2 linked regions of the Caenorhabditis elegans genome follow. The protein of the gene in region 2 interacts with the protein of the main gene of each other region in a pairwise test. Each region holds a gene or a part of one and is shown on either strand. Other genes may lie near its edges. The genes, in order: eif-3.D and F42A10.5.

What was found.
Region 1: the proteins of F42A10.5 (region 2) and eif-3.D interact in a two-hybrid assay, tested with the Caenorhabditis elegans proteins (one large-scale study listed by BioGRID).

What each region holds. Positions count from the first base shown.
Region 1 is NC_003281.10:8,959,045-8,974,387, forward strand, and holds eif-3.D (Eukaryotic translation initiation factor 3 subunit D), read right to left. Parts: upstream 12,535-15,343; 5' UTR 12,533-12,534; coding exon 12,351-12,532; intron 12,305-12,350; coding exon 11,345-12,304; intron 11,298-11,344; coding exon 10,869-11,297; intron 10,827-10,868; coding exon 10,685-10,826; 3' UTR 10,591-10,684; downstream 1-10,590. Other genes in the region: ZK643.6 (uncharacterized protein), read right to left, coding at 1,491-1,649; grl-25 (GRound-Like (grd related)), read left to right, coding at 3,251-3,344, 3,394-4,011, 4,062-4,154, 4,200-4,372, 5,125-6,285, 6,340-6,525; bud-13 (BUD13 homolog), read right to left, coding at 7,086-7,179, 7,229-8,003, 8,059-8,133, 8,184-8,512, 8,568-8,671; Putative RNA polymerase II subunit B1 CTD phosphatase rpap-2, read left to right, coding at 8,932-9,042, 9,092-9,362, 9,410-9,522, 9,566-9,942, 9,993-10,190, 10,235-10,384, 10,436-10,583; R08D7.4 (Complex1_LYR_dom domain-containing protein), read left to right, coding at 13,177-13,590, 13,644-13,944, 14,016-14,117, 14,273-14,407, 14,463-14,626; putative calcium-binding protein R08D7.5, read left to right, coding at 15,082-15,292, 15,335-15,343.
Region 2 is NC_003281.10:6,163,335-6,178,412, reverse strand, and holds F42A10.5 (Protein CDV3 homolog), read left to right. Parts: upstream 1-5,612; 5' UTR 5,613-5,641; coding exon 5,642-5,865; intron 5,866-5,915; coding exon 5,916-6,378; intron 6,379-6,479; coding exon 6,480-6,611; 3' UTR 6,612-7,191; downstream 7,192-15,078. Other genes in the region: F42A10.7 (MD-2-related lipid-recognition domain-containing protein), read left to right, coding at 1-88, 188-398; F42A10.6 (MD-2-related lipid-recognition domain-containing protein), read left to right, coding at 1,552-1,702, 1,750-1,915, 1,961-2,075, 2,121-2,219; abcf-3 (ABC transporter domain-containing protein), read right to left, coding at 2,361-2,601, 2,702-3,193, 3,243-3,829, 3,969-4,787; efk-1 (Eukaryotic elongation factor 2 kinase), read left to right, coding at 9,883-9,942, 10,029-11,105, 11,159-11,894, 11,949-11,972, 12,118-12,262, 12,860-13,124; F42A10.9 (Gamma-glutamylcyclotransferase family protein), read right to left, coding at 7,288-7,330, 7,621-7,760, 9,724-9,822, 13,514-13,610, 13,670-13,761; nfm-1 (FERM domain-containing protein), read right to left, coding at 14,799-15,014.

The sequences.
Region 1 (15,343 bases), 2.8 Mb from region 2:
AATGTATTAATTCATTTCTATGTATTAATTCAAAGAGTTCGCCAAAAACAATAATTCCTTGTTATTAGTTTTATTCAATGCTACCGTACACCTAGAATCATTTTGAACGTCGAATTATAGAAATTGGTAAGATCCTCAAAAATACTGCCACATCTATCTTCTCGTTTCAAAAGTGCACAATCCTCAGCTACACTGAATATGGTTTTCAAAACTTTTTAAACTTAGATTTATGGAGAATATGGAATTTCAAATGTGCACTGGTTTTCAAAACTTTTTAAACTGAGATTTATGGAGAATATGGAATTTCAAATGTGTACTGGTTTTCAAAACTTTTAAAACTGAGATTTATGGAGAATATGGAATTTCAAATGTGCACTGGTTTTCAAAACTTTTAAAACTGAGATTTATGGAGAATATGGAATTTCAAATGTGCACTGGTTTTCAAAACTTTTTAAACTGAGATTTATGGAGAATATGGAATTTCAAATGTGCACTGGTTTTCAAAACTTTTTAAACTGAGATTTATGGAGAATATGGAATTTCAAATGTGCACTGGTTTTCAAAACTTTTTAAACTGAGATTTATGGAGAATATGGATTTTCAAATGTGCACTGGTTTTCAAAACTTTTTAAACTGAGATTTATGGAGAATATGGAATTTCAAATGTGTACTGGTTTTCAAAACTTTTTAAACTGAGATTTATGGAGAATATGGAATTTCAAATGTGCACTGGTTTTCAAAACTTTTAAAACTGAGATTTATGGAGAATATGGAATTTCAAATGTGCACTGGTTTTCAAAACTTTTAAAACTGAGATTTATGGAGAATATGGAATTTCAAATGTGCACTGGTTTTCAAAACTTTTAAAACTGAGATTTATGGAGAATATGGAATTTCAAATGTGTACTGGTTTTCAAAACTTTTTAAACTGAGATTTATGGAGAATATGGAATTTCAAATGTGCACTGGTTTTCAAAACTTTTAAAACTGAGATTTATGGAGAATATGGAATTTCAAATGTGCACTGGTTTTCAAAACTTTTAAAACTGAGATTTATGGAGAATATGGAATTTCAAATGTGCACTGGTTTTCAAAACTTTTAAAACTGAGATTTATGGAGAATATGGAATTTCAAATGTGCACTGGTTTTCAAAACTTTTTAAACTGAGATTTATGGAGAATATGGAATTTCAAATGTGCACTGGTTTTCAAAACTTTTTAAACTGAGATTTATGGAGAATATGGATTTTCAAATGTGCACTGGTTTTCAAAACTTTTTAAACTGAGATTTATGGAGAATATGGATTTTCAAATGTGCACTGGTTTTCAAAACTTTTTAAACTGAGATTTATGGAGAATATGGATTTTCAAATGTGCACTGGTTTTCAAAACTTTTTAAACTGAGATTTATGGAGAATATGGAATTTCAAATGAAAAAGTTTCCGCGCTGTTCTACCCCGTATTATTAATTTTATTCAATGGTACCGTACTCCTAGCATCATTTTGAACGTCGAATTATAGCAATTGGTAAGATCCTCAAAAATACTGCCACATCTATCTTCTCGTTTTGAGAGTGCACAATCTTCAGCTACACTGAATATCAGACCAATAAAGTTTAATATCAGAATGAGGAAGAAGATTCCACGCATTTTAAGAATTGTTCTGTTGAAAACTTCAATTGATCCTATCAATTTATAGACCTCAATTCTTTAGGACAGGTGCTCAAATATTAGGTTGAAGAGCACAAAAACAAAATGTTTTTCCCCATTGTTTTCAGTAAATTTCTTTGTATTTCATTGGCAATAAAAGACTGTTTTTTGTGTCACAACAAAACAATTTCTTCATAGTGGGTGATAAGAAAGATACGCGTATTCATCTTCTCAAGTAATCCGTTAAGAATAAGAATTAGAATCAGTGCAATGGATTGAAGAGTGAATAACTGGTTAGATACCGATTGGTAGGCAGAGATATGGGATTAGGGAGGCAGCGAAAGTTGCGTCATCCAATGAAAATGGTCGAGGGCGCAAAGTTCTAGGATTTGAAATGAACGAGTTTAGGGGAAAACTAAGATTAGATTCAATTAATAGGTCTAACCAAGAGTGAGTGGTACTTGCCGTTCGGCAATCCGAATTTTTGGTAATTGGAAAAATCGAAAATTGTGGAAATCGGAAACTACCGAAAGTGCCAAATTGCCTAAAATTTTCAAGCTCAATTACTACATTGTTCAAATAGCGAATAATTAGAACATTTATCTATAAAAATTCTTGTAGAAAGCAAACTTTAAATATTAGAATATTACATCTCTAACAATTTCCAAATAGTGTGCAAATGGCACAAGGTTTTTCTACTGAATTATTATTTTGGATAGTTTCTGAAATTATGCTATCTATTGTATAAATGTAAAGTATTGACAACGCGATATGTATTCCTCAAGTTTGATCTACTTAGAAGTTTTTGTCCACTTTTGTGGCCTTTCTCGTTTTTGAAATGGGTTAGCAAATAGAAATGAGGGTTTTTGTGTATTATTGGAACGCATTTAAAAATGAAATGTTTTAGTTTATGAAAAATAAAATGTGTAGTTTTAGGATTTTTAGACTTAAAAATGCACTTTCAATGGGCAATCTTTGACAAGTGAATGCAAATTAAATTTATTTCAAAAATGGATTCCGATGTAAGTGCCGAAATAAGTTTATGTAAAATGCCCATAAATGCATTATTCCTATATTTTACTGATGTACCAACCACTTAAAAAATATTCTTAATTTTACCAATCCACCCCTAATAAATCTGAAACAACGATCACACAAGGTGTTTTGTTACGTCTCGACTATCTCCCTCCCTACTCAGATAAACGCTTTCAATTGATGTGATGATAGTAGAAGAACCATCTGAAATCCGAATAAAGATGTCGTAACTGGTAAGTGAGAACCGGTGTCATTCTGTGATAACAGTATATGTCTGTGTGTATATGTTTTTGCCAAAACCAGACGTTTCGCGCAAGCAGTGGGCGGCGTCCCAAATTCTCCAAGACACACTACTTGTTCTTCTGCACTAGTAATTGCGATAAGTATATAAGATCGACTTGTTCTCCTAATAAGCATCATTCTTTCAGTCGCATCTTTTTAAAGCATCCTACTTTTTCGGTCACTTTTTTATATTTACCATCGATTATCTAGTTACCAAAGATCTGAGAATTCTGAAAAAACCTGAATTGTTCCCCAAATGTTGGTTTTTAGATAAAGATTTCAGAATGGCTACCTACCTTCGGTTGGTAGTTCTCTTCCTATTGACGATCCACGTTTCGTCATTCCTCTTCCCTAGCGCCGGAGGAGGAGGAGGTGGAGGTAGATTTGAAAATCCCTTTTCTTAAAAATAATTTACGCATATTTTCAGGCGGCTGCGGTGGCGGCTGCGGTGGTGGCTGCGGTGGTGGCGGAGGATGTGCTCCACCACCTGCTCCGTGTGGAGGTGGATGTGGAGGTGGAGGTGGTGGCTGCGGAGGTGGCGGAGGATGTGCTCCACCACCTGCTCCGTGTGGAGGTGGATGTGGAGGTGGAGGAGGTGGATGCGGAGGTGGAGGTGGTGGCTGCGGAGGCGGCGGAGGATGCGGTGGAGGAGGCGGAGGATGCGGAGGAGGTGGCGGAGGATGCGGTGGAGGAGGTGGAGGATGCGGAGGAGGAGGTGGAGGATGCGGAGGAGGAGGCGGCGGAGGATGTGGTGGAGGATCCAGCGGAGGATGCGGTGGAGGATCTAGCGGAGGATGCGGAGGAGGAGGTGGCGGAGGATGCGGAGGAGGAGGCGGTGGAGGCTGTGGAGGAGGATCCAGCGGAGGAGGTGGATATGCTGTTGCACCATCAGGTGGAGGAGGATGCGGAGGAGGAGGATCAAGCGGAGGAGGTGGATATGCTGTTGCTCCATCAGGAGGAGGAGGATGCGGAGGTGGAGGATCCAGCGGTGGAGGAGGATATGCCTCGGCTCCATCCGGAGGCGGTGGATACGCAACTAGCGGAGGTAAGAACTTAGTTACGAATAATATCAAATCAGCACTGAAATGTTTCCAGGAGGAGGCAGCGGTGGATACGCTACCGGTGGAAGCTCTGGAGGAGGATATTCATCTGGAGGAAGCTCCGGCGGAGGATACTCAACTGGCGGAGGTATAAACGCATTCTTTGATAATAATCAAACGTTAATTATTTCAGGAGGAGGATATGCCGGAGGAGGCGGAGGAGGCGGCGGAAGCAGCGGAGGATATGCCGGAAGCAGTGGTGGAGGAGGATATTCAGCCCCAGCTGCTGCTCCACCACCGCCACCTCCACCACCACCACCACCAGCTCCAGCTCCAGTGTCGAGCGGAGGAGGATACTCTGAACAAGCAAGTGGTGGTTCTTCTTACCCGTCACGCTTCAGATTCTCGCGCTTCTTCAACAAGGCATAATTTAAGTACCATCACAATTCCCAATGATGCCCCCCGTTATGATATTGTTGTGAGAAATGAGAGTGACTGTAGCAGTCAATTCTCAACAAGAAGTGTCTAGTATTGTCTCTTTTCCCACCATCTTTCCTGTCAGAGCCGAGATTCCATCATCTCTTCTCAAATTTTATGTTTTGTTGCCAACGTCTTGTCTGTCGGCCAAAACAAAACCCATGTGTCCTGTATATAAATGTTTCCGAATGTGTACGTCGTTTTCTAACGCAATGCATGAACACAAACATATCAACGAAGATTACATTATTCAGTTAAAGGTTCACAGGCTCAATGTGTTAAAATGACAAGCAGACTGACTCTCAACTAAATGGATTTGGAAGAATACGTGGTATGTAGATCAACTTGACGTTTAATGGTAGAATACTAATACTTTTAAAGTTTGACTAACTATTAATCTAGTTGTGAATAGTAGTTAGAATATGCAATGGAACTGACATTCTTATAGGTGGAATCATTTCTGATTTTCGATAAGAATAGATAGTTTTTAACTATGGGTTTTGTAATAATGCAAAGTTTTTGTAACTGTGGCTGAAAGTTAGCTTTAAACAATAGATCTCATAACCTTTTATAGTTGACTGATAGCTAGAGATGTTAGGTGCGCGCCCATTTCACAACACTATAACGTATTCATTGTTCAGAGCAGCGGAGGAGGAGGAGGATCGTCTTATTCCGGCGGAGGAGAAGCATCATCGTCATCCGGAGGTGGATATTCAGGAGGTGGTGAATCCTCATCGAGCGGTGGATCTTCTTATTCTAGCGGAGGAGACTCGTCTTCGTCATCAGGCGGAGGATACTCATCGGGAGGTGACAGCTCATCATCATCATCTTCATCTGGAGGATATTCGGGAGGGAGTGATTCATCGTCGAGCTCATCATCCTCGTCTGGTGGATATTCATCCGGAGGAGGCGATGCTGGAGCATCATCTGGAGGAGAGTCCTCTTCTGCAGGAGGATATTCCGGATCTTCATCAAGCGGAGGAGAAGCATCATCCGGAGGATACTCTGGTGGATCGTCAGAGCCAGCACCAGCTCCAGAAGCAGCACCTGCTTCATCTGGGGGATACTCAGGAGGATCCGAAGCAGCACCAGAAGCTGCTCCAGCAGCACCATCAGGTGGATATTCAGGATCTGAGGCTGCACCAGAAGCTGCTCCAGCAGCCCCATCAGGTGGATATTCAGGATCCGAAGCAGCACCAGAAGCTGCTCCAGCAGCACCATCAGGTGGATATTCAGGTTCTGAAGCTGCACCGGAAGCCGCTCCAGCGGCCCCATCCGGTGGATACTCTGGATCTGAAGCAGCACCAGAAGCAGCTCCAGCAGCTCCATCTGGGGGATATTCCGGATCAGAGGCAGCTCCAGAAGCCGCACCAGCAGCCCCATCTGGGGGATACTCAGGATCTGAATCCTCAGCACCTGCCGCTCCAGAGCCAGCTCCGTCTTCTGGAGGCTATTCTGGAGGAGGAGGTGACGCTGGATCAGCTGCTGGAGGCAGCAACTACTCTGGAGGTGGTGAAACCGCTCCAGCTGCCCCACCACCAGCTCCGGAACCAGCTCAAACCTACTCAGGAGCAGGTGGAGAGTCGGCCGCCGCCGCACCAGCACCATCTGGAGGAGGATACAGTGGAAGTGGAGGAGCCGGTGGAGCACCAAATGGAGCCAATTATGACGAAGCACAAGAAGATGTAGAAGAATATGAAGGAGGAGCTGCTGGATTCAGAAACAGAAGATTCTCAAAGGGAGGAACTGCTGATGATACTCCAATCTGTAACTCAGTTAGACTCAGGAAACTTATTAGACAGGTTAGTAGAACTCAAATGAATGTTTAAACATTCTAAACTGAAAAACAATTTCAGAGTCTCACTGAGGATCCAGAATCCTCAATGCAACGTTTGGCTCAACGTGTCAAATCTCGTCTTGTGAGTGGAGAATTCTATGTTGCCTGTGGAGAGCAAGGTCTCTTACCACTTGCTGGAGAGAATCGTGAGCACTGTTTCATCAAGAGCGGAAAATTCGCTTGCTATGTCCTAAGAAAAGCCTAAACATGAGCTGTACAACTTGTCACATGACTATTTATTCTAATTTAATATACATTGGTTATAACTTCTCGCACTCGATACATTTGACAGGAACACAATTTTTTTCAATAAATTATTATTAATAAATCGTTTTCTGATTAATTTGATGGATTATTCTTTGAAATTTGAGTACTGTACATTGGGATTTTTCTTCAAAAATAAAATTTTCAAATTCACAAAAACAACAAAAGAATCTGATAGGTTGGAAACGTAGGCGGAGCGAATCGCTGATTGGTCGCAGTTCTCATTTCGGAGAGAATTCAAATGGGTTCAAATGTCAATATTTTTCGTTTTTCTTTTAGTGTTTCTGAATTAGAGAATAGTTTGGATTTTTATGCAAAATCCCCATTTACGGTACGCTAAGTTTCTACTCACTTCATGCGGAAAAAGGACAACTTTACAATGAGTTCATATGAAACTACTTAGATGCTCATAAAAACCTTTTTTTTTTGCAAAATAATTTACTGATAATAAATAAAGGCAGAAAAGAAAATAATTTTGAAACACTGGAAAATTTATCATTATTACTCGTATTCGGCAATCGATTTGTAGTATTCGGATTGATTTGCTGTTTTGGTGTTCTCCGTTTTTGCAAGTTTTCCTTCGAATCCATTTGATCTGAAATTTAAAATTTGTATTTTTCATGTCTCAAATTCTGAGGGTTTACCTGTCCACTCCGTCCCATCGATATCCGGGGGCGATTCCAAATCGATTTGGTACAAAATGTCCGTGATATGAAGGATATACCAGTTCTCCACGATCAATTGCTGTGTCTCGGCGCTTTTTCTGAATCATGTTTGCCATCGGATCAGCCGCATGCAGCACTTCTTTTAGATGGGCATTCATTGCATCGTCATCTCGAGCTCTAGCCATTGGCTCAGCAGCAACTCTGGCCATTTCTTCAAGTTGTGCTCTACGATCTTCAATCTGAGCAACTCCTTTATTCCATGATTTATATTTTTCTTTCAATTCTTCTGTTTTCTTCGTTTCGCGTTCTTTTTTCGCCTGATCTTCTTCAGAATCTTTGCCTTTTTTCTTCGTTTGTTTCTGTCTGTATACAGTATCAGCGAATCGACCGCTCACCGAAGTGTCCATTTCTTCAAACATTTTCGAATTTTTAGCTCTCAGTTTATCGCTCTCTTCTTTCAAATCTCGTGCTGATTGCAATCCGGATCTTTTGCCTTCTAACGTTCTTCCAGATGTCTCTGTATCACTGTCAGGCTCTTCTTTCTTTATTTTCTTCGGTTCTTCGATCTTTCTCGATTTTCTCGGGGGACTCAGATCATCGTCTTTACGTCGACGAGCAGGAGATGATGGTCGTCTTCTAGGCGGAGAATTATCCGAATCACGACGAGAACGGTTACGAGGAGGCGAGTTGTCACTATCATGCCGATCTCTTCGCGTTCTGGGTGGTGAGCGTCGATTTCTAGCAGATGGACTTTCTGAAAAATGCAAATAAAATATTTATGATTGAGCAAAAATAGGTTTTCGACGAACCTTCTCTTATTTTCCGTGATGGACGTGGGGGTGAATTGTCACTATCGTGTCGTCTTCTCCTTGGCGGTGAATTATCTGAAAATTCGAGGTATCAAATTTTTTAAAGTTTTTAAAAGTTTACTTACCCTTGTCGCTGTCATGCCGATTTCGTGATGGTCGTGGTGGAGAATTGTCACTGTCATTTCGCTTTCTAGAAGGTCTTGGTGGAGAGTTGTCGCTATCGTGACGTTGACGTTTCCCCCGCGGCGGAGAGTTATCAGGTGATAATGGTTCCGGTTTTATTACTTTTGGAGCATCAACCTCGGCAAATGTCTGCTTGAATCCATGAACTACTTTTGCTTTCTTAACGCTCTGCTTCAAAACTTCAATTTCTTCTCGTTCTTCGTCGGATCCAATATCTCTTGTTTTGGCAGCATCCACAGAAAGAAATGCATCTTCTTCGATTAGTCGCAGCCTGAAATATAATGTATTTTTTAATATAAACTTTCTTCAAATAATATTTAACTTACCCGCTTGGCTTGTTTTTGTCTTTGTTCTTCTTCTTTTTCTTCTTTTCGATATCACCGGAAGCAGGAGACAGATATTTTTTTAAATAATCCGCTTTCGATGTCATAGCTGGCGATTACTGAAACAAATATAACTGTATTTAGACAAGTTTAAATTAAATAATAACATTATTAAAGTATTAAAAAGAAAAAAAGTCGAATTCGAAAATGGTGGCCGCGTGGCCGAACTAGGCTGGAGTTCTCGGCCATAATGATATTTCTAGTCCATTTTGTCGAAAAATAAAATGTTTTTAAACATAGTATTTTTCAAAGGAATTCCAGTTTTCAAAGCTTTTCTAGGAAATATATTTTCTTTAAGGTTCCTAGAATGGAGACTGAAATTCCGGTGAATGAAAAGGAGACTTCCTTCCGCAGAAGAGTTTACACTACGATCGAAACTCTCATTGACATCGAAAATACTGATCAATTACAAGAACATGTAAGATTATTTAAATGATGATAAGATTTATTAAAGTTTTGTTTTTCAGCTTCCACATCTCCACTGTCTCGGATGGGACGAAGTTGTCGAAGAGCGATATGTGAATAAGCAGTGCGGTTTTCCTTCTTGTCAAAAAGCTCCACCAAAAATCACTAGAAATCAAATGTTCGAAATCGACAGAAAAGAAGGAAAAATTTTCGAGTTTCGCAAGCAAAGAGCTAAATTTTGTTCGGAGATGTGCTATCAGAAAAGTTCTTTCGTAAGAAAGCAATTAGATGAGCATCCGCTCTGGATTACCGGTTTAACGGAGGCGAGAACTCGTAAGTTATTGTATCAAATAATACTATTAACCGTATTCATTATTCAGAGAAAGTATACGAAGTTCCTGATGAATCATTTGTAAGCCCGATTGCTGAAAAAAGTGAACCCGTGGATTCGCAATTCAAAAAAGAACCTTCTATTTGGCTGGTGACCGATTCGGTAAGTGAAGAGAAATGCTCACTAATATATTTAAGTGTTTCAGATCATTGCGAAAGTTCAAGACATGAAACTAAGCGAAGAAGCCGAAGAACCAAAATCTCTAGATCCAGAAGATCAAGATATCGAACCATTTAAATTAACTGATGATGACAAAGATTTTATCAAATCTATCAAGGAATTTAGAAATTCGAATTTTGGTCCTCCATCGACTTCGAAACTTTTGAAAACAGCCCCGAAACCTGTACTATCAGCAAAAGATCGTAAAAAAGAAGACGAAGTTCTCGCAAAGCTGCGTGCAAAGTATGGAAATAAAAATGCTCTGCAAAAGAAGCCACCAATTCTGATTGAGGCTCAAGAGATCCATTCAAAATTGAAAACTATGGAAAAAGCAAAAGAAGCGTGGCTCGTTGATTTAATTAAGTTAGAAAACTCTCAAAATATAAATTTTACAAATAATTATCTCATTTAAGATCCTGGTTCACACCTGAAACTCGTAAATTGGTTCGAGAAGGTGCCAGACCAACCGGTGGAGCTGCTGAGCAAATTTTGATGGATTTTTTGTCCGGTAAAAAGGTGGACGCGGAGAAATTGGTCAATTTGCCGAATCTTGATAAGTACAATGTGAAAGAGAAGAGATTGAATATTTTCCTGCATTCTATTAGGAATCAGTGAGTTTATCTAGCAATTTTAAATATTAATTTTGAAATTACAGCTGGATGGATTTGGAAGCACGTTTACATTTAACTCCAACTCGTCGTGATATTCTCAGTCGAGTAGCTTCGACATTCCAACTCGATTCGGAAAATATCACTGGCTGGACAAAGAGAGAAATTAATTCTATCGTTATTGCTCTTTTCATTGTGTAAGTTCTAAAAAATGCATAATTAAAAAATTTCAAAATGTTGAAATTTAGGATTTGCCTCGTCGATGTTGAGCTTGGAGACGACTACTTCAAGAAGGACAACGCTTCTCCAGAACTTACTGCGATTTCCAATGAACTATGCGGGCTTGATTCTTTCCAAATTACCGGTTTGCACGCTGCGATTAAATCCCAATGTTGAATGATATTTTGAATAAAGTTTATCTTATCAGAACCAAGTTTAATTAACAAGAGACAATAATTAGAAAAGCGAATACAAGAAATTGTCAGAAACCGGGGACTTTATTGATCGTCATCCGAGTTCTCCTCGTCGGAGCTCTCGCGCTCGCTTTCGAAAGTTCCTTCTGGAAGCGAATAAAGGCGGATAACCGGAGATTGTGGATCCTTCATCAACAAGTACTTTCCTGGTTTTTGCTTCATACAACTGGAAAAAATTGATTACCAGTCTGGATGTGCTCGTTCTTACCTGTCAATGACGCATCTAAGAATTCCCCAGCAGTTATCCATGTTCAAGGCGATGTTGCTAGCAAACTCCGTTGGCTTTACGTATTGGGTGAGTAGAATAGAATGATTTTGTGTGCTGCGTGCATTGTTACGAGACACATATCCGAGCTTCATTGTGTCGGAACCGGCAAGAAGTGCTTGCAGAGTCCACTTTGCAACCTTAGCTGAGTTGTTCTTGATTTCGGTGGCCATTACGGCTCCCTTTTGAACATCAAGCTTTGTTCTCCAGTCGACACCTCCAGATTGTGTGCTATCCCATTCGTTGAATGCCTTGATTGTAAGAGTCTGAGTCTCATTTCCGAGTCCGTGAATAACTCCATCCAATTCTGTACGGCAAACCAACTCAACTGGTTTTCCATCAACTCCGTTTCCAAGATTCCACTTACGGTATCTAAAAATTGTTTAATTAAAGATCAAAATTTTAAACGAAAATCCTACTTGTAAGCAGTTCCTGACTCTCCAGTCTCCTCGTCTTCGAATGGAGCACGAGCATTCTTGAAGGTGAATCCTGCGTCGTTTCTCTTGACGACTTGACGACGGAAGTTTTGGTTAATGTAGAATGCCTCGGTCGCAAGATCCTTGGCATTGTTGATACCATTTCCGTCGAATGATGGTGGTTCGGCACTAGTCTCGGAAACAGTAAGGGTCTCAACTGGATTCAAAATATCTCTAGTGTTTCTCTTATCGAAGAAAAGTTTGTCTCCGACTCTGTAGGCAACAATGTCCCACGAGTAGACCGAACGAGGAGCAGTCATCAAAGTAGCAAGAATTATGTCTGTTCCGAAAACATTTCCAGCACCACCTTGAGCAAGTTCTTGAATTACAGGATCTTCCGTTGTGGTGACATTGTAGAACACGCCAGCGCATCTTTGAAGCGGAATAGAATTTTTCACAGAAACGCGATCAATAGTCTTGTCATAGTATTGAAGACTTCCATACTGGTGATCCCCAATGTCGTCTCCTCCTGGGATGTTAGGAAGAGCAAGTTTGGAAAACGCACTAAGATTCATTTCTTCAAGAACAACCCATTCCGGTCTAACTTGAACAGATGGAAGACGTTCCTTCGGCCGATCACCTCCGAATCGACCACCTTGTCCGCGTTGTCCTTGACGAGCATTTCCTCCACGACGTTGCCACATCTTGAAGGCACGTTGTTGCTCCTTGGCGATACTTCTCTTCATTCTCAAATTCGTTGACTGGTTCACCATCTCACGCTTCTCATTTTCTTTCTGCATCATCTTACGAAGATGCATTTGGCGGACACGGAAGTTGCGCTGTGGATTGCGAGCCATTGGTTTAGAAGTGTCAACAAGTTGGAAGTTATGCTCATCCATTCCATGAATGTAATCGAACTGACTTCCAGCGTTGGCGGCGGATCCATAGACACGCTCATTGTATCTAAATTTCAAGTTTTAACGATACCACTCATTTGTTGTATAAAAACCTCTCATTTCCTCTTCTATAGAATCTATCAACACCAATCCAGTCGGCAACACGTCCGATGCGATCAGCCTTGTTGAATTGTTGGAATGGAACAGGCTCATCAGCAGAGGAACTCGACGCCAATGGACCCCATCCGACTGTATTATCAGCCAATGACAACAGTTCAAACTTTGGTAGAGCCATACCTGAAATAAATATAAAATAGTGTTGAAATGCAATTTTAGGCCAAACGATAGCAACGACAAAAGAAATGGAAATGGAACAATAACATTCGAGAGCATTTAAAATATAGTTACAAGACTTTCATGAATTTATATAATTCACAAAACAGAAAAATTAATCAGAAAATCGTATAAAAATGTGAAAAATCCGACAAGAACGCGTGTAAAAATAAAAATGTTTAATCGAGAAATGCGCAAGGTACACGAAACGCGCCAACATTCGCCACTTGACGCCACCTCAATTTTTGGTTTTTATTTGTTTTCTCCAAATTTCCTCGCATAATCAGAATATAATTCCAGAAACGGGTCCACCTTGATGAATACAGTGCCACAAAGTATTCGAGTCATTCAGCTCTATCGACAGATTTTAAAATTGGGCAAGAATTGGAAAGCAAAAGAAGAAACAAATACTGTAGTTGAGAGACAACAAATTATCACTGAAGCTCGTCAGGCTTTCCGAGAGCACCAGCAGGTATTCTCGTTCTCAATATTGATGTGGAAACTAATTATATGGGATTTTTCAGGAAAAAGACCCAATAGTGATTGGCAAACTAATCTATCAAGCGGAGCAGCGAATCGTTCAAGCAGAACACTACGGAATTCCACATGCAAGACCCGAATACCTTCCTCCTGATACCGCTTATTCAGTCAGAACGAAAACGCAAAATTTTCACAAAATGTCAAGAAAACGGAGAACTGAGCGGGATGGTCCACTCAGAAAAGGAGACAACTGAACTCCAGTTCAAAAGATTTTATTGTAGCGCTTCAAAAATTCCGGATCAGCTAATGAAGGATATTGTAGAACAATGCATAAAAGATTCGGAATATGCTGAGAATCTTTGCAACAATGTCTTCAATAATGAAATTGTCACATCGCATGAAATTCGTTACAAATTTCAAATAAATGTTCTTAAAAACTTGATTTCTGAACTTCAAGCCAATAATGTTGTTGTTCCTGATTCAATGTTCGACAGGCTTGGTTCTCTAATGGGAATGAAAGAAGGAGAATATGTGGAAAGAGTAAGTTTTTAAACAATTCGTCAGCTCAAATGGAAATAATTTCATATTTTCAGGTTTACCTAACCGATGGAGGCGACAAAGTTCTAGCGAAATTCTCGGAAGCTGTAAATCAACTATCAATGGGTACAACTGGCTTATCAGTTTGGCAAGCTTCTTGTGATCTCGCCAATCTTTTTCGCTTGATTCCCTCCGAGTACAATCGAATATTAGAACTCGGGTCAGGATGTGGTGTTAGTGGAATTGCAATTGCAAAAATGAATGATTGTTGTGTGACGCTCACTGATTATGATGATAATGTGCTGAATCTTTTAGAAGAGAATATTGCGAAAAACGATCTGAAGAGTGATACTGAAGGTATTTTTTGAGAAATAAAATCGACTCCTTCCGTATTTCAAATTTAAAAATATTTAGAATCTAAATTGTAGATTCGTCAGCCAACAACAATCAAGCAACAGTTCGCTCACTCAATTGGTGTGATTTTGATTTCTCTGAATGGAAGGAACCCACGGATTTGATTATCGCGGCCGGTAGGTTTTGCTAATACTTTTATTTGTTAAATTCTTTGTTTTTCTATATGATATTCGTGTGAAACGAAACCCTTCAAATAACAGCTTCAGGCACTCATTATCCAAGTCTTCTCATTTCTCTGTGTCTCTCTTCTCTTTCACGTCTCCTTTTTCAGATGTTGTCTACGACACTGCATTGCTCGCCTCTCTCTGCAATGTGCTCAATCTTCTGCTCCGCCACTCAAAAGCTGCTATCGTTGCGTGCACTCGTCGTAACGAGTCGAGTATTGAGTGTTTCGAGCATCATTTGAGTTAGTTATTTTTCTTTCGTACACAATATTTTTCTATTCACTATATTTTTTACAGAAATGGCAAAACTAGAAATTGTGGAAAAATTCGAATACGAAAACGGTGCCTACACAATTGGAGAAAATTCGTATCATTATGCATCTATTTTCCCATTTTTCTCAACTCTCAAAACACCTACAATTTTTTATAATATCCAGCCTAAAAATAAATTAGTTTTTTAGTATTAAAGCTTCATTAAAATTTTTTATTTCACATCGTTACTGCGACGTATTGCATTTATCTATTATTTTTCTATTTTTTCCTTATTGTCCGAACGCGAAATTCTGTGGTTTTGCTCCAACAATACGATTCCTGGTCTCGACACGGCAGTTTTTGCTGAATACAAACGGAGTTTACGTCTTTAAAAGATTACTGTAATTTTAAACTTCCGTTGCCGCGTATTTTTAATCGAAGGTTCATATTTTTCATTAAAAACTATATATTCGTTGAAAAATAAAAAATAAACCATTAAAACACTTATATTTTTTAATTGTGAGAAAAACTATAAGAAGTTTCACAGCAATCAAAGTTTCAATCTACAGTACTATTTAAAGGCGCACACCCGTTTGTATTGTCGTGTCGAGACCAGGTTTTTTTGGAGAAACATTTGGACAATATGCATATAATTTTTTTACAGATGTCTCAAACTCCGGCAACTCCAGTGACTCGTGATGAAATAGAGGTCACATTTGCGGCAATGTGCACCGAACAAAAGCCAAATTTGCTCAAGCTTTCACAATTGAAAATGGTGCTCCGTGCTCTTGGATATGATCCAAGAAACTCAAAAGTACAAGAGATGACTAGGAAAATCAAAGATGGAAGAAGCATGGTAATGGGATGGCATGGAGGTAATTCTGGATTAACTTTTAAATAAAAGTTTAAATATTTAGAGAAGGATT
Region 2 (15,078 bases):
CGCCAAATCTTCGTAACACCGTCAATATCTGGAAGTATGGAGGATGGAACGGATGCACATGGAGCTCAATCCCAACTCTCGGTCTTTTGTAAGTTTATATCTTTAAGTTAATTCTAATGGATTAGAATGGGTGAACTGTTTAGGCTATTCTCGACTTCTAAATAATAAATAACGATTCATCTTCCAGGAAGGACCTTGACGCCTGCGCAAACGGAGTCCCATGCCCAGTCCGTCCAGGAAACCAAGAACTTGACGTCATCATTGACTTCACCAAGTTCGACCAAATCATCGCCTTACTCAAGGACAATCAGCCATATCAACTCGAGTACATCCTTCACGACAACCAATCCGGAGACACCTCATGCATGATGGTCCAGGCTTGGGCCTTCCTTAAGTAAAATGCTTTCCCATTTGGCGATTGGCTTTAAGATTTCTAATTATATTTGCACTATAACACGGGCGTATATTTTAACAACAATAAAATGTACATAATCTTGACTTTTTGTTGGTTTTTGTTCATTATCAATTTGAAGGAAAAATTTCCGAAATCGAACTAAAGTTGCGATAACATTTTGATAAAAAAGAACTATTCGCACTGGAAAATGTTGCATATTTGCCATTTTGGCAATGAACCAAAAATCAAACAAGTAAACAAGGAATCAGAAATTATTAATAATTTCCCGATTCAGTTATAGTTTGAAAACTGAGAAATTTCAATAAGTACCTAAAGTTGGAAGTATGAAGAATACGTGCTTGCACAGGTTTTTTAAAACTTTGTCTTTCCTTCAATTCATCGGATTTAATGATCAAAATAGAAGAAGAATATAAAAATCGCATAGACGTCAAAAATGAAAATTTTCTTCATATCTTATGAGTACAACGAGTTACTTTACCACGCGTCAATTTCTTAGGCCTCCATTGTATCATAATTTTATTTTAAAAAGCTTGGAATCAGTTATTCATTGTATTAGAAAAACATGGTGCAGTAGCGGCCTTCATATTGACACGTGTTACAGTAACCCGCTTTCCGCGTGGCGAGACCCATTTGCGTAAATTATGACGGAAACTCTCATCTTCTGACGTCTACGTAATATTAAGACGCTGATAAAGCTAAAGTTGCTGAACAAAGTAATGAAAAATAAAAATGTATGGTACCCAAGTTTTAAAGGCGCATAGCACGAGTGAGCAAAATTTTCAATCGTGGCGAGACTTCGAAAGGTGCATTTCTCAGGAATACTCAATATACATATGAAATTTTTTCAATGAAAATGAGTACTTCCTGTGGATATTTCCGGTTCTCTGTGACCTCTTTTTTATTCTAGAATCACAATTACATGCAAAAAACTATTAAAACGCGTGGTTTCTTCAAATTGCCATGTGCTTTGATATTTCTCTTATCGTAGTTTTTCCTATCGAATTTGATGATCATTTTGCAATTTAGTTTTCCATTTTCTCAAATTTCCCAGTTAACCAATTACAGATTCACTATTTTATTCCAACTTAGATCACATCCACTAGCTTTCGAAACGAAAAATTCTACTTCAATTCCAGATGCTTGCTCGTTGTCTGTGTCTCTTCGCCCTACTTGCTCTCTCGTCGGCATGCGATCAATGGCCGAATACTACAGAGACAAAGGTCAACTGGTGGCAATGCTCAAATGGACCAGTTATGGTGACCAATGTTAATCCAACTGATAAGAGTGGTTCGCAAGTTTTCTGATAGTTTCTACGAATGTATAATTGAATCCAGGTAACAGTGAATATCCAATCCGTCTTACTGAACCACTTCTCATTGCAACATCCATCAATGATCCATCCTCAACTTATACTACTCCTGGACTTAAACAAACTATCAAGGTCTGGTCATGGAATATGGCTACTTGTGGATGGTCTTCAGTACCAACTTTTGGACTTTTGTAAGATTTTTGCTTCTTACAGTAACCTACAGTAACCTTTTCCAGGAACAACATCGATGCTTGTACCAACGGAGTACCATGCCCAATTGAACCGAAAAACAAGGTCATCAATTTGGAACTCGACTTCTCTGATACTCCAGCTATCATCAATCTTCTCAAGGTTATTTTGATGTGTATTCTTCGAAAGTTAAACCCCCAATTTCAGAACGATAAGCCTTACCAACTCGAGTATCTTCTTCATGATGACCCGAGCAAGGAAGACCTTTGCATTATTTTCCAGGCTAGAGCTCTCACTCATACTTAAATTTTGAAGTGAACAATTTAATAAAGCAATAAACTTTTTTCTCAACAAAAATTATAAATTGAATTCTTAAATAGTGTAACAAAACGTGGAAACTGGGTGAAATATGGGAAACAACCGAATGCGAAACAAAACAGGAAAAATTTAGGCAGTGAGTTGAAGCTGCTTGTAGACTTGCTTTCTGTATTCTTCGAGTCCTCCCTCCAAAGTTGTCACCATTCGATCCTTCACAACCCAAAGTTCCTTGCACACAAGCTCGATGAGTTGCTCGTCGTGAGAAACTAAAACGACACCTCCATTGAAAACATTAAGCGCTTTTCCAAGAGCTTCAACCGTTTCGACATCCAAGTGATTAGTAGGCTCGTCAAGAATCAAGTAGTTTGGCCTGAAAAATACTATGAATTAGACGGAGTTTGAATAAATTTTTTTTTCTAGGAAAAAATGAATATTTTTTGAAAATGTTGCTATTTTCAAGCAAAACTCACTGCATCAAGGCTAAATTAGCAAATGCCAATCGAGACTTTTGACCTCCAGAAAGTGTCTCAACAGATTGCAAAGCCATATCACCAGCTAATCCAAATCTTCCCAAAGCTGCTCGATAATCTTCTTGAGTCTTTCCAGGATGATTCTTCATCAACACCTCAATAGCTGATGTTTCCATATCCAATTGATCAACGTGATGCTGTGTGAAGTAGGCAATTCGAATACGACGATTCACATTTCGAAGTCCAACGGATGGTTGGAGATCATCGAGCAAAAGTTTCAACAGTGTAGTTTTACCGGCTCCGTTTTCTCCGACAATACAAATCCGGGAGTTGGCATGAGTTCCGAGATTGAGCTTTCGGAAAAGATAGGGAGAATCTTCGTTATAACGGAAGGATACTTCATCGAGTTGGAGAACTGGATTACTGAGAACTTCGCATTCTGGGAATTTGAAGTGAATGTCTGATTCGAGTTCGACAGGAAGAAGAACAGGCCTGAAAATCATAATAAAATTTTTAGTGACAATATTTTATAAAAACTCACAATTTTTCCAACATCTTGATTCTGGATTGAACCATTGGAGCTCTTTTAGCGTTGTATCTGAATTTGTCAATAAACTCTTGAGTATGCTGTCTCAATTGCTGTTGTGATTCGTATTCTCTCTGCTGTTGCGTCAACTTTTCCTTCATCGTCTTCTCAAATTGATCGTAATTACCCTTGTAGTGATCCAATCGTCTGGTGTGCAAATGAACAATGTCCGTGCAAATTTCGTTGAGGAATTTACGGTCGTGAGAAACCGTCAAAATAGTTCCTTCCCAACCTTGCAAATGTCCTTCCAACCAGTAAACCGCTCTCATGTCCAACATGTTAGTCGGTTCGTCAAGCAACAAGAGATCTGGCTTCACGAATAGAGCTCTGGCAAGGGCAACTCTCATACGCCATCCTCCAGAGAACTCCTTTGTTGGACGCTTCTGCTCGTCTGGAGTGAAACCGAGACCATAAAGAAGGGAAGAAGCCCGTGCTGGAGCTTTGTCAAGTTGGAGAGCTTCCATTTCGATGTAAAGTTTTGAAAGCTCGTCATTCCATTTGGTTTTCTCGGCGTCATTGATATTGTCCTTGTTTATACGACTCTGAAATTTTAATTTTGAAAAATGAATTAATTTTTGTTCAAATTAAAAATATATATTTCAAGAATGGAATGAATTCAAATCAGACTTTTTTGTCATATTATTCTCATTGAATATTAATATCATTTTCTGAATATCTCACTTGCAGCGTCTTTTCCCTATCAAGAAGTGTTTGTCTCTTCGTATCTGACATCAAAACAGCATCCAAAACGAGTGTATCATCTCCTTCCACTTCCTGTTCCACAGACAGCATTGAAATACCTGCGGGGATCTTCAACTGTTGGCTTGAAATCATTTTAAGCAGCGTCGTTTTTCCGATTCCGTTTCTTCCAACCAATCCATATCGTCTTCCAAATGCCATTGTGACATCGGCACATGAGAGAAGTTGTTTCGTACCGATAGAAATATCCACACTTTCCAGTTTGATATCCTTTGAGTTGGCTCCACGGGCACCCGAGTCACGAATTGGAGCTTGGGAAGCCGTTGCTGATGGCTCATTCTTCTTCTTCTTCCGTTCAACAGGTGCATCTGCACGAGCTTCTGCTTTCGCTGCAGCACGATCTTCGGCCTTAGCAAGTTTCTTCTTATCAACGGTAGTTGGAGTATCTCTTGTTTGTACTTTCCAGATGCTTTGAAGAGCTTCAAAGTTTTGATTTTCAGCAGCCATGTCAACAGTTTGCTCGAGACGTTTCGTAGTTGCTTCCTGTTGTTTGATAGCCTTTGGAAGGTTGTCTCCGTGAAGTAGTTTCAGAAGTTGTTGACAAGCATTCTTAGCTCCAACCTCGCAAAGATTTTCCACGGAAGCTTGAAGATGTTCACCAACGGCATCCATAACTTCATCTAAAGATGTGATCTCATCGGAATTCTCTTTGAGAATTGCAGAGACATAGTCTTTGATCTCAATTGGAAGTGTGGGAAAAGTGGCCGTGAGATAGCCAGGAATTGCTTCAACATTTGCCATTATTTAATTGTTCAAGAAGAACTCGTAACCTGGAAAAAATTCATAACACACTCGTAAATAAGTTGCGTTTCTCGTATCATACCCAGCCAATTGAAAAAGTGAAAGACGATGAAAACCGGAATGAGACTTGGAATCAGAAGAAGATAATACGTTTGATCGGAGATGAAAGAAGCTGTTAGCTCGTCCACCAAGTGAGATTCCTCTAGCATACACTACGAGTCCTAAAAAAGTAAGGTTTTATTTATTGGGTGGTGGAAACTGTATCATTATCCAAATGACTAAAATATTAATTTAATAAATACATGTAAACTGCTATAAACTCGACCAAAAGCAATTTATTCATCCGAAAATACTGTAAATGTGAGAGAAAACTGAATAAAACGAGATATGCGTCAACAAAATCGCCATACACGCCAGTAATCGTCCTGGCGCGTTTGCAGTCTCTAACTTTTTTTTGTTGCGAAACTGAATTTTTAGCTGGATTTCTCTTCAACTTACACGTTTTGTTCATTTTTTGTTAGTTATATTTAGAAGCTCCAAAAGCCTAAACTATTCCAATTAGCAAATTCATTATTGTCAAGACAGCCTTCTGCCAAATAACTGCAATGAATCTCTGATACGCGCGTGACGTGTTGCGTCGCGTTTTCTTCTCATTTTCAGTAAATTCCAGCTAGTTTGCCACTTCCTATCATTTGTTCTTTGTGCACAGTAACTTTACATGTCATATTCGTTATTTGAACTTCACTATATTAGAAAACTGTGCTATTGTCGTTTCATTTTAGGCCGTTCAAAATAATTTTACTCTCTAAATGTTCCACGTTTCAGTTCCGACTCGCTTTTCACAACAACACAAAATGAGTGACGATTTGAGCGCTTTCTTTGCTAAAAAGAAAGACAAGAAAAAGAAGTCCGCCGTTAAAATCGAAGAAGTCGGTCAAGCACTCGAACGAAGAGCCAAGCGTCAAGAGGAGTATGAGCAAGAGTCGGAGGATGTTTCTGAAAAGCGGGTAGAAGAGGAGAAGGCCGTGAATCCTAACGAAGAAAGTGAATGGATTGAATACGGAGAAAGTCAAGGAAGGTTAGTAGATTATTCGCTCCGATTTCATTTAAATATCTCATTTATTGCAGACTAGATGGTCTGAAAATCAAAGATATGGGTCTTGAAAGTGAACAAGATCAAGTAAATAACGAAGAACCAGAAGATCGCGAGGTTCATGAGACAAAGACTTGGGGACAAGTTAGCAGTGAAAAGAAAGCGACGGAGGAGCCGGAACAAGCTGTGACGATCAGTGACAAAGCAATGGCTGCCGCTTACAAGCCACCTGCAATGAGAAGACCAGGAGCTCCGTACAGACCAAGAGCTGCTGCTGCAAATCTGGATATGGGTAGTGACGCTGCCTTCCCATCATTAGCGGATGCAAGCAAAATTGAGAAGAATAAGAAAGAGGAGAGCAAATCACCAGGAGGTTGGGTAAAAGCTGGATCCGGTGGAGCTTGGCCAGGAAGTTCGGGCCCATCTTCAAGTGGGTCTTCAAGATCGTATCCGACAACTGCTGGAAGTGGACGTGATAGTGCTCTTGCAGCTCTCAAGGTATGTGTCAAGGAAAAATAATTACTCTAAGTTTTCAAGGTTTTAAAACTATCAAAAATCATTTTTATTATTCTTGAAAATGTCTAAATTCAACGTTTCAGATGATGAGCGCCGCCAATCCAGCTCCAGCGCGTAACGAGCCAGCACCAGCCCCTGCAGCTGCTGCTCCAGCATCTTCGGGAGCTGCCAAGGCTGGATCGTACGTTCCTCCACATTTGAGGAAAAATCAATAATAGGCCCAACTATTTTCTTATTCTTCTGTTTTCTGTGTTCCCATTTCCTTATTCATTGTTTTTCTTTATTCTATAATATCCTTTTTTTGGTTAGTATTCTCATAATTTAGTACATTATTAATTTCGTCCCTATCAACTTGTTATGTCCCAAATTTCTCTTATCATTTCGTGCTTAAACGCACTTCACTCTTTATTGTTGCTCTACCAATTCTTGAACGACCCACAATACCCCGTGAAATTTATAGGGTAGTTGACAGCGGACGGTGTGGTTTGAGAATTCACGTGAATCGAATTTTGGTATCTTTTTTCGAAATCTTATGCATTTCGAAGGTCGTCTCCTATTTTCGGTGTCACGCCAAAAATCTCAAATCCGCCTGTTTCGCGTGTCGTCGGTTACGGTTTCAACGAAAGAAAGTTTCAAAATGTTTTCCCCATGAGCACTTTGCTCTTTTTCTACTTGTGCTATTTATACAAGTGCTCTATCATATTCTCTTTGCCCAATTCCCTTTCGGATTCAATCATGGTGTCTTTTTCTTTCGTTTCCCTTTTTTCTTTTTCATATAAACGTTTATACATTCCCAATGTGCTCGTCTTTGTTATCTTGCATGTGTGTTTTCAATCCCAGATTATTATTCATTTATTCAAATTATAACGATGAGGAACTGTTACTCGGTGATCACATTGCTTCGTACATTTCATTCTCGTTGGTTAGGTTCTCGCTGCAAAAAAAATTAAATGTAGGTTCATTGAATAGTTATTTGTAAATTTCCCCACTTTTCAAATCGAACTCGGCTTTTCTCTGAGCCAACTCGATGTAGATCAGGTTCTCAGCGCCCAAAATATCATGATAGAGGTTCGAACTGCCGTCGAGATCGTCAAGCATCTCTTTTGCGCGCACGTATCTGAAAATTCCAGTCGTGCGCGTAATTTTTCAATAAATCACTGGAATTTGTTTTTCAAAGAAATATTTAATTTAACTCTAGTTTTAAAAGGCACATTTTTCTCTTACCTGTCCACATAAGGTCTACCATGAGCTCCGAGGCTTGAGTAGTTGGTCATCATTTCGGATGACGTGGAAAGTAGATCTGGGCGCCAGCTTTTCAGCAGATAGATAAACGCAGTCTCAGTAGTGCCAGACGGAAGTTTGATCTGAAATTTTCATGTTTTTGAATGAGAAATTCCCCATTTTCAGATATGTTTTGTAAGTTGGTATTGTTATGATTCAACAATGAAAAATAAAACAAACGGTCGAAGACGTTTACATTTTTTTTTGAAAATTTCGTGTCTACTTTCTACAGTAACCCGCGCTGTCTGAATGAGCTCATTCATATTATCTATTCCATAAATATCCTAAATCAATAATTATAGGTTCCTTCATATACACTTTATTTTAACTTCCTCTATATTTTTCAGCCAAAAAAAACACCAAGTGGTCCCAACCATTCATCCATCCAAGTCAAATGTGCACACCCATCTCTTTTCGGTTTACACTCTGTCTGTTTCTCTAAATCTCTCATTCTTCATCATTGTCTCTCCTTCTTCTCCTTTCTCCATTCTTCTGGGTGCCTCTAGGCCTTTCTCGATTTTCCATTTCTTCACGTAGTTTTCTCCCAGTTTTTCCGTCGGTCTTTTTTCAACTTCAGAGAGTCTACTGATTCCTGTTTCTATTTTAAAGTGCTAGTGATAAATGTCTGAGAGATATTGGTCACATTTGACCTATTACATTCGGCTCGGTCAGATTGAAGTTTCAAGGAAATCAGAATATTTCATTTTTATATTCCAAGAATCTACTCAACCAGATGATTTATTATGTTCATTAAAAATAATAGGATTGGTTTCTCATTGATATATTATTCACCATCTGCCCTTTTTATCAAATCACAAAAAATCATTTTTATCTTTAATGTCTAACTGTAAGTACAAAAACGTGCAAAACTGAAAAACTTAAAATTGAAAGTAATTTTCGATTTTTTGTTCTTTTGATTTTTTAATCTTTGATCTTGAAAATTTTCCTCGACGTTTCTCGAATGTTCCTTCAAAAAATATTACCCATTATAATTTATGAGCTTTTTTCTTTCTCTATTTATTCCTATCGGGCCCGATATCGGGGAGGATTTTAGATTTTTTAAAAAATAATTTTATAGAACTTTTGAAGATACCTCTAAATGCCTACAATACTTACAAAATATGAAATAGTTTTTGTTTCTTTTCAAAATGCATAATCTCATTTATAAAAATGATTTATAAAACACAATTTACGGACTTTAATCCAAAATCGTATGTTTTCCATTGAAAAAGATAATATCTTCCGAATCTGGTTCTCGATCCTCGTAATTCTCTATTTACCCAACTCTTCTCTACACACAAATCACTGGATTATAGACTAAAAACCTAAAAATGCTCGAAATAGAAAACTTCTGCAGTTTGAATCTTAAAATTGTTCTAAAAGTGAATACGAATTTCATAAATCTCAATTATCAATTATCAGAAACAAATATTCAGAAAATAATTGGAAAACCTTTAATAATTTTCAATTATTACTTCTAATGGTCGTTTCAGAATGTTATTTTTAAAAATCGATTTCTTTTCACTGAGATCAAATTTACTTTTGGATCCATTTTTTACGAATGCATAATAAACATATTGTTATTACATCCAAAAATTTCCATAAAAAGCTCTCAGCTGACCAGCACGTGACGCATCTCGATGGAACAGAAATCAAACTGTTTATATGTTTGTTTGCTTCTCTTTTCTCTATCATCTGCTTTCAAGTATTCTTTCATTCGACACGTTCTCCCCCCGTTGTCGCTTTAATTCATGCTCGTTTTTTGTTGGGTGTGATTAGATGAGTAGTGTCTGGGCCTGACATAGAAAACAAGACCTTTGACTTGCCTTGAGTTCTGATACGATACCTGGTCTCAACGCGACCAAAAAATTTCAGCGCAAACAAGAGAGTGCGCCTTTAAAAAGTACGGTAGTTCTCCACGTCCAGTTTTTCCCAATTTCATAGATTTTACACTTTAAATCTTTTTCGCAACTAGGTAATATCGTTTTTTAAGAATAAAAACATCTACAGTAGGAAATCAAACAGAACCTTTTTTATCTGACTTACCTCAACTTTCTTTCTATCGTACAATGTTGGGTAGGCTTCCAACTCATCGAGCACCTTCAATTTCTTCTCGCAAACTTCATACATTTCTCCTTCAATGTTCTGAAAAAATTTGGATTAATTATTTACAAAATAGTTGTTTCAGTAGTCAAACTGGGCAAAATGACGATCGACACAACAAATGAGAGCGACAATAGTCCAACTAACTCACCAGGATTGGAGGTGGGATTTTTGAAAACAATTCTTTAACAAAATTAAATTTATTTAATTAAAATTCAATTAAACAAACTACAATTTTTACTTTCAAGGCCTCGGCTCGGACATTCTCGCTCAATGCGTCAAAAATGGTTCGGATAACCGACGACTACGCAGATGAAGTGTTCATTGAACAGAATGATGTCGTTATCGAGAAGCCTCGTATGGATCCTCTCCACGTTAGAAAACTTATGGAGACATGGCGCAAGGCTGCTCGCCGAGCAAGAACAAACTATATAGATCCATGGGATGAGTTCAACATCCACGAGTATCCAGTACAACGAGCTAAACGATATAGGTATTCTGCAATCAGAAAGCAATGGACAGAGGATATAGTCGATGTGAGACTTCATCCGGACAGTTTTGCACGTGGAGCCATGCGAGAATGCTACCGACTCAAAAAGTGCTCCAAGCACGGAACAAGTCAAGATTGGAGCAGCAACTATGTCGCAAAAAGATACATTTGTCAAGTCGATCGTAGAGTTCTTTTCGATGATGTCAGACTTCAGATGGATGCCAAATTATGGGCTGAAGAATATAATCGGTATAATCCACCGAAGAAAATTGATATTGTTCAAATGTGTGTCATTGAGATGATTGATGTAAAAGGTTCTCCACTCTATCATTTGGAGCATTTCATCGAGGGAAAATATATAAAATACAATTCAAACTCAGGATTTGTATCAAATGCAGCTCGTCTTACACCACAAGCATTTTCTCACTTCACCTTCGAACGTTCTGGTCATCAAATGATGGTTGTCGATATTCAAGGAGTTGGTGATCTTTACACAGATCCTCAGATTCATACAGTTGTGGGAACTGATTATGGAGATGGAAACCTCGGAACTCGTGGAATGGCTCTTTTCTTCCATTCACACAGATGTAACGATATTTGTGAGACAATGGATCTATCAAATTTCGAACTTTCGCCACCTGAAATCGAGGCTACCGAAGTTGCGATGGAAGTAGCTGCAAAGCAGAAAAAGTCATGCATAGTTCCTCCAACTGTGTTCGAAGCAAGAAGAAATCGAATTTCAAGTGAATGTGTACATGTCGAGCATGGTATTTCGATGGATCAATTGAGAAAAAGGAAGACGTTGAATCAATCGTCAACCGATTTGTCAGCAAAGGTGAAAGAAACATTTAAAAAAGTTCTAACGTATTCTATTTTTATATTTTTCAGAGTCACAACGAAGACTGTGTATGTCCTGAGTGTATTCCAGTTGTTGAGCAACTCTGTGAGCCTTGCTCCGAAGATGAAGAGGACGAAGAAGAAGACTATCCAAGAAGTGAAAAAAGTGGAAATAGTCAGAAAAGTCGACGTAGTAGAATGAGCATTTCAACGAGATCTTCTGGCGATGAATCAGCATCTCGTCCTAGAAAATGCGGATTTGTAGATTTAAACTCACTTCGTCAGAGACATGATAGCTTCAGAAGTTCTGTTGGGACATATTCTATGAATAGTTCTAGACAAACCAGAGACACTGAAAAGGATGAATTCTGGAAGGTTCTTCGAAAACAATCAGTTCCAGCAAACATTCTATCACTTCAACTTCAACAAATGGCTGCTAACCTGGAAAATGATGAAGACGTACCACAAGTCACCGGGCATCAGTTCTCTGTCCTCGGTCAGATTCATATTGATCTCTCACGATATCATGAGCTCGGGCGGTTCGTAGAAGTTGATTCAGAACATAAGGAAATGCTTGAGGGAAGTGAAAATGACGCTCGTGTACCAATCAAATACGACAAGCAGTCTGCAATTTTCCATTTGGATATCGCTCGGAAGTGTGGAATCCTTGAGGCTGTGCTAACATCGGCTCATATTGTTCTCGGATTACCACATGAATTGTTGAAAGAAGTCACCGTTGATGATCTGTTTCCTAATGGGTTTGGAGAACAGGAAAATGGAATTCGAGGTGAGCTTTTTTTGTTAATTTTTCTCTTTTAAATCTGAAATTCCAACTTTTCAGCTGATAAAGGACAAAAACCTTGTGGTAAGAATCAAGTTTTCTCGTGTGTGCTTTTTAAAAATTATTTTGTGATTTCCCAATTTAACCTTTCGTGTTGTTTCCTTTTTTGAAAGATTCAATCCTAGTGTTCTCAGCATCCCGTATTTTATCAAAATTCAAAAATTTTCAGACCTAGAAGAGTTCGGCTCCGATCTGATGGAAATTGCTGCAGAGATGGGTGATAAGGGTGCAATGCTGTACATGGCACACGCTTATGAAACTGGTCAGCATCTCGGACCGAATCGAAGAACGGATTATAAGAAATCGATTGATTGGTAAGAAATTTATGAGATTCTAGTGAAGATACAGTAACCCGACTTTATAGAGAATACTTTTAAGAAACCTAAAAAAGCTAAAATGTTTGATGCTATAGCTTCTAATTTTTTTTAATTGAAAATTTTTTCGAATAGCCGGAAAATTGAAAATCGAAAAAAAAGATTTAGAATGTAATTAACAGATTTGAAATTTCATCAAACTTTGTTTGTTTCGATGGAAATTTTTTTTCTTCTAAATAAAAATTTCAATTTACGAAAAAAAAAATCAAAAAACGAAGATTTTCGATTTTTTGAAATTTGAATTTTTGAACATTTAGGAAATTTGGAAATTGAAATTGAAATTTTTTAATCGAAAATTTTTTAAAATTCGAATAGAAGTACCCGTCTCTGATTCATTTTTTATAAGAAAAATTGTGAAAAACCAGAAAAACTAGGAACCTTCAAAAAATATGTTCAGAAAAAACTAAATCTACTTGTTGTATTTTTCAAAAAGAAAATCATATATGACCTATTTGCGATTTTTATTCTGGACTTCTTGGATGATTTTGTTCCTTAACATTTTTTCTATAAACTTGAGAAATATTCTAAATTTTGTAGGTATCAACGCGTCGTTGGATTCCAAGAAGAAGAAGAACTTGACTCTGATTGTGGAAAAACGACATTCTCCTCATTTGCTCCACTGACTCGTCACGAGATTCTAGCCAAAATGGCTGAAATGTACAAAGAGGGAGGTTATGGCCTGAATCAAGACTTCGAACGAGCATATGGTCTATTCAATGAAGCTGCTGAAGCAGCAATGGAAGCAATGAATGGAAAGCTCGCAAATAAATACTATGAAAAAGCGGAAATGTGTGGAGAATGATTCTTGAATTCCCCTTTCTTCAATCCTCAATGTATATCCTTTTTTCTGGTATAATGTACATTATTGTTTGTTTTTTTTTTCATATTAGTTAGTATCCCCATCCCCTACAATTTTTAGTTTCCCCCTGTCACAGTCCCCGGATTCAAGGAAAGAAAAAAATTTCAAAGATTTTGAATACCAAAAAAATTTCGGATCTAAACAAGTTTTTGGCATTTATACTCCCTTTAAACCGTGCGCATAATCATTTTTCTGTTTCTTTCTTTAAAATTTCCTTATTCATCTTTGTTTCCCTGCCAAAGCTGATTCCGTTCTCGTTCTTTTTTTTTAATTACTTGTCAATATGCTTCAAAGTACGTCGGTTTAAATAAACTTCAGGTTGTAAAACTCACATTTCCATTCCCAGCATCATCAAGCAAAAATGGAATGTTATATTTGGTTCCAACTACCAATGGGAACTTTTCCACTGTAGTTCCAGATGAGATGAATCTGAAAGAAGTAATGCATCACATTTGACACTCAAAATTCTTCAGTACTCCCGAACTTACCGATATTCTCCGTCAGTTTCTGACAGAACCTTGTAGTTTGGCTCTCCTGTTTTCAGGGTTCCATACACGAAAACCTTGAATTTTTCGCCCATTTTTGCTGGAAATGAATTAATAAATTACAGATTTTTTCATTATTTTAAGTTAATAAAAAAACATTTAAAAAAAATCTGTATTCATCAATCATTCGATATGTATATTTACACAATATGCCTTTCGGAAAAAAGAAGAAAAATACGCGTTTTTGTCTTGCCACGAAAGATTATTGATTGAAAAATGGCAAAAGGGTGTGGAAAAATCAATAAACTGAATGAGCACAAAATGGGGTTATCTCTTATCGGGATGGGGAAAAACTGAAGAAAAAAAAGGAAAATCGGTTCATAAATGGCCATAAAGTTTCTTATCACATTCCATCAAAAGCTTGTGCTCGTTGTCGTGGAGTTCCTCGCATACTCTGAAATTATAAGAAAATTATAATTGGAAAATGAGAAGAATAATCAATCAATACCACACTAATGTTCATTTCAAAATTTGAAAAATCACAACAAAATACACCGACGGACAGGTTTGTGAAATTCAAAGATATAGTTTCACTAAAAAATGTGTGATTTTTTGAATCAATTAATAAAATTAATAAAGTCTTAGCGCGAGCGAAACTTTTCAGATACCGTACCCTGGGTTTTGCTTTTTCTTGTTTCTTTCTATTTTTAAAAATTTTTCGAGTTTTTGTTGTGAAAATCTTATTTTCCCTGAATAGGTTTACTACAAAAACATAAAAACTCAAGAAAAAGAATTTCCAAATAAACGATGGAACGTCTACTATTGGATACTGTAGCGGAAAAAATAATCTCGTGTCAGTACCCGACGTAACGATTGCGCTCTAAGAAATATTTTTCGCGCTGCGTTCATTGTTGCGATTCCTGATTTTTAAATTTTAAGTCAAAAAAAAACAATTACAGTGTGCATATTATTGAATTTATTCATAGAGCGCTTGAACCATGAATGTTTATTTTCAACTCTAACAAAAATACCAATCAACAAGTGTTAGAAAACAATAATTGGAAAATTAGTCAATATGCAAACACGCTCTACCACACAACAATCAAACTCTGGCACTATTTTCTCACTATATTCAAATGTCAGCTTCCTGCCATTCAGTGTTTCCCAAATCATAAGACTGCTGTCTATGCAGCATCATGACGTGGCTCAGAATACTTGACGAGCTCGTAGTGGATACTGTAGAGACACGTGGAATCCCTCGTCCCGCCACATGTCTAGCGACAGTATTGAGCTCCAAGGAATCGGAGGAACCCGATGAGCCAATTGAGCTTGCGCTTTTTGATTTTTTCTGGAGATATTCCGAAGTTAAGCGTCAAACTTACAAATGCCAAACGCGCGAAATTTTAATAAAT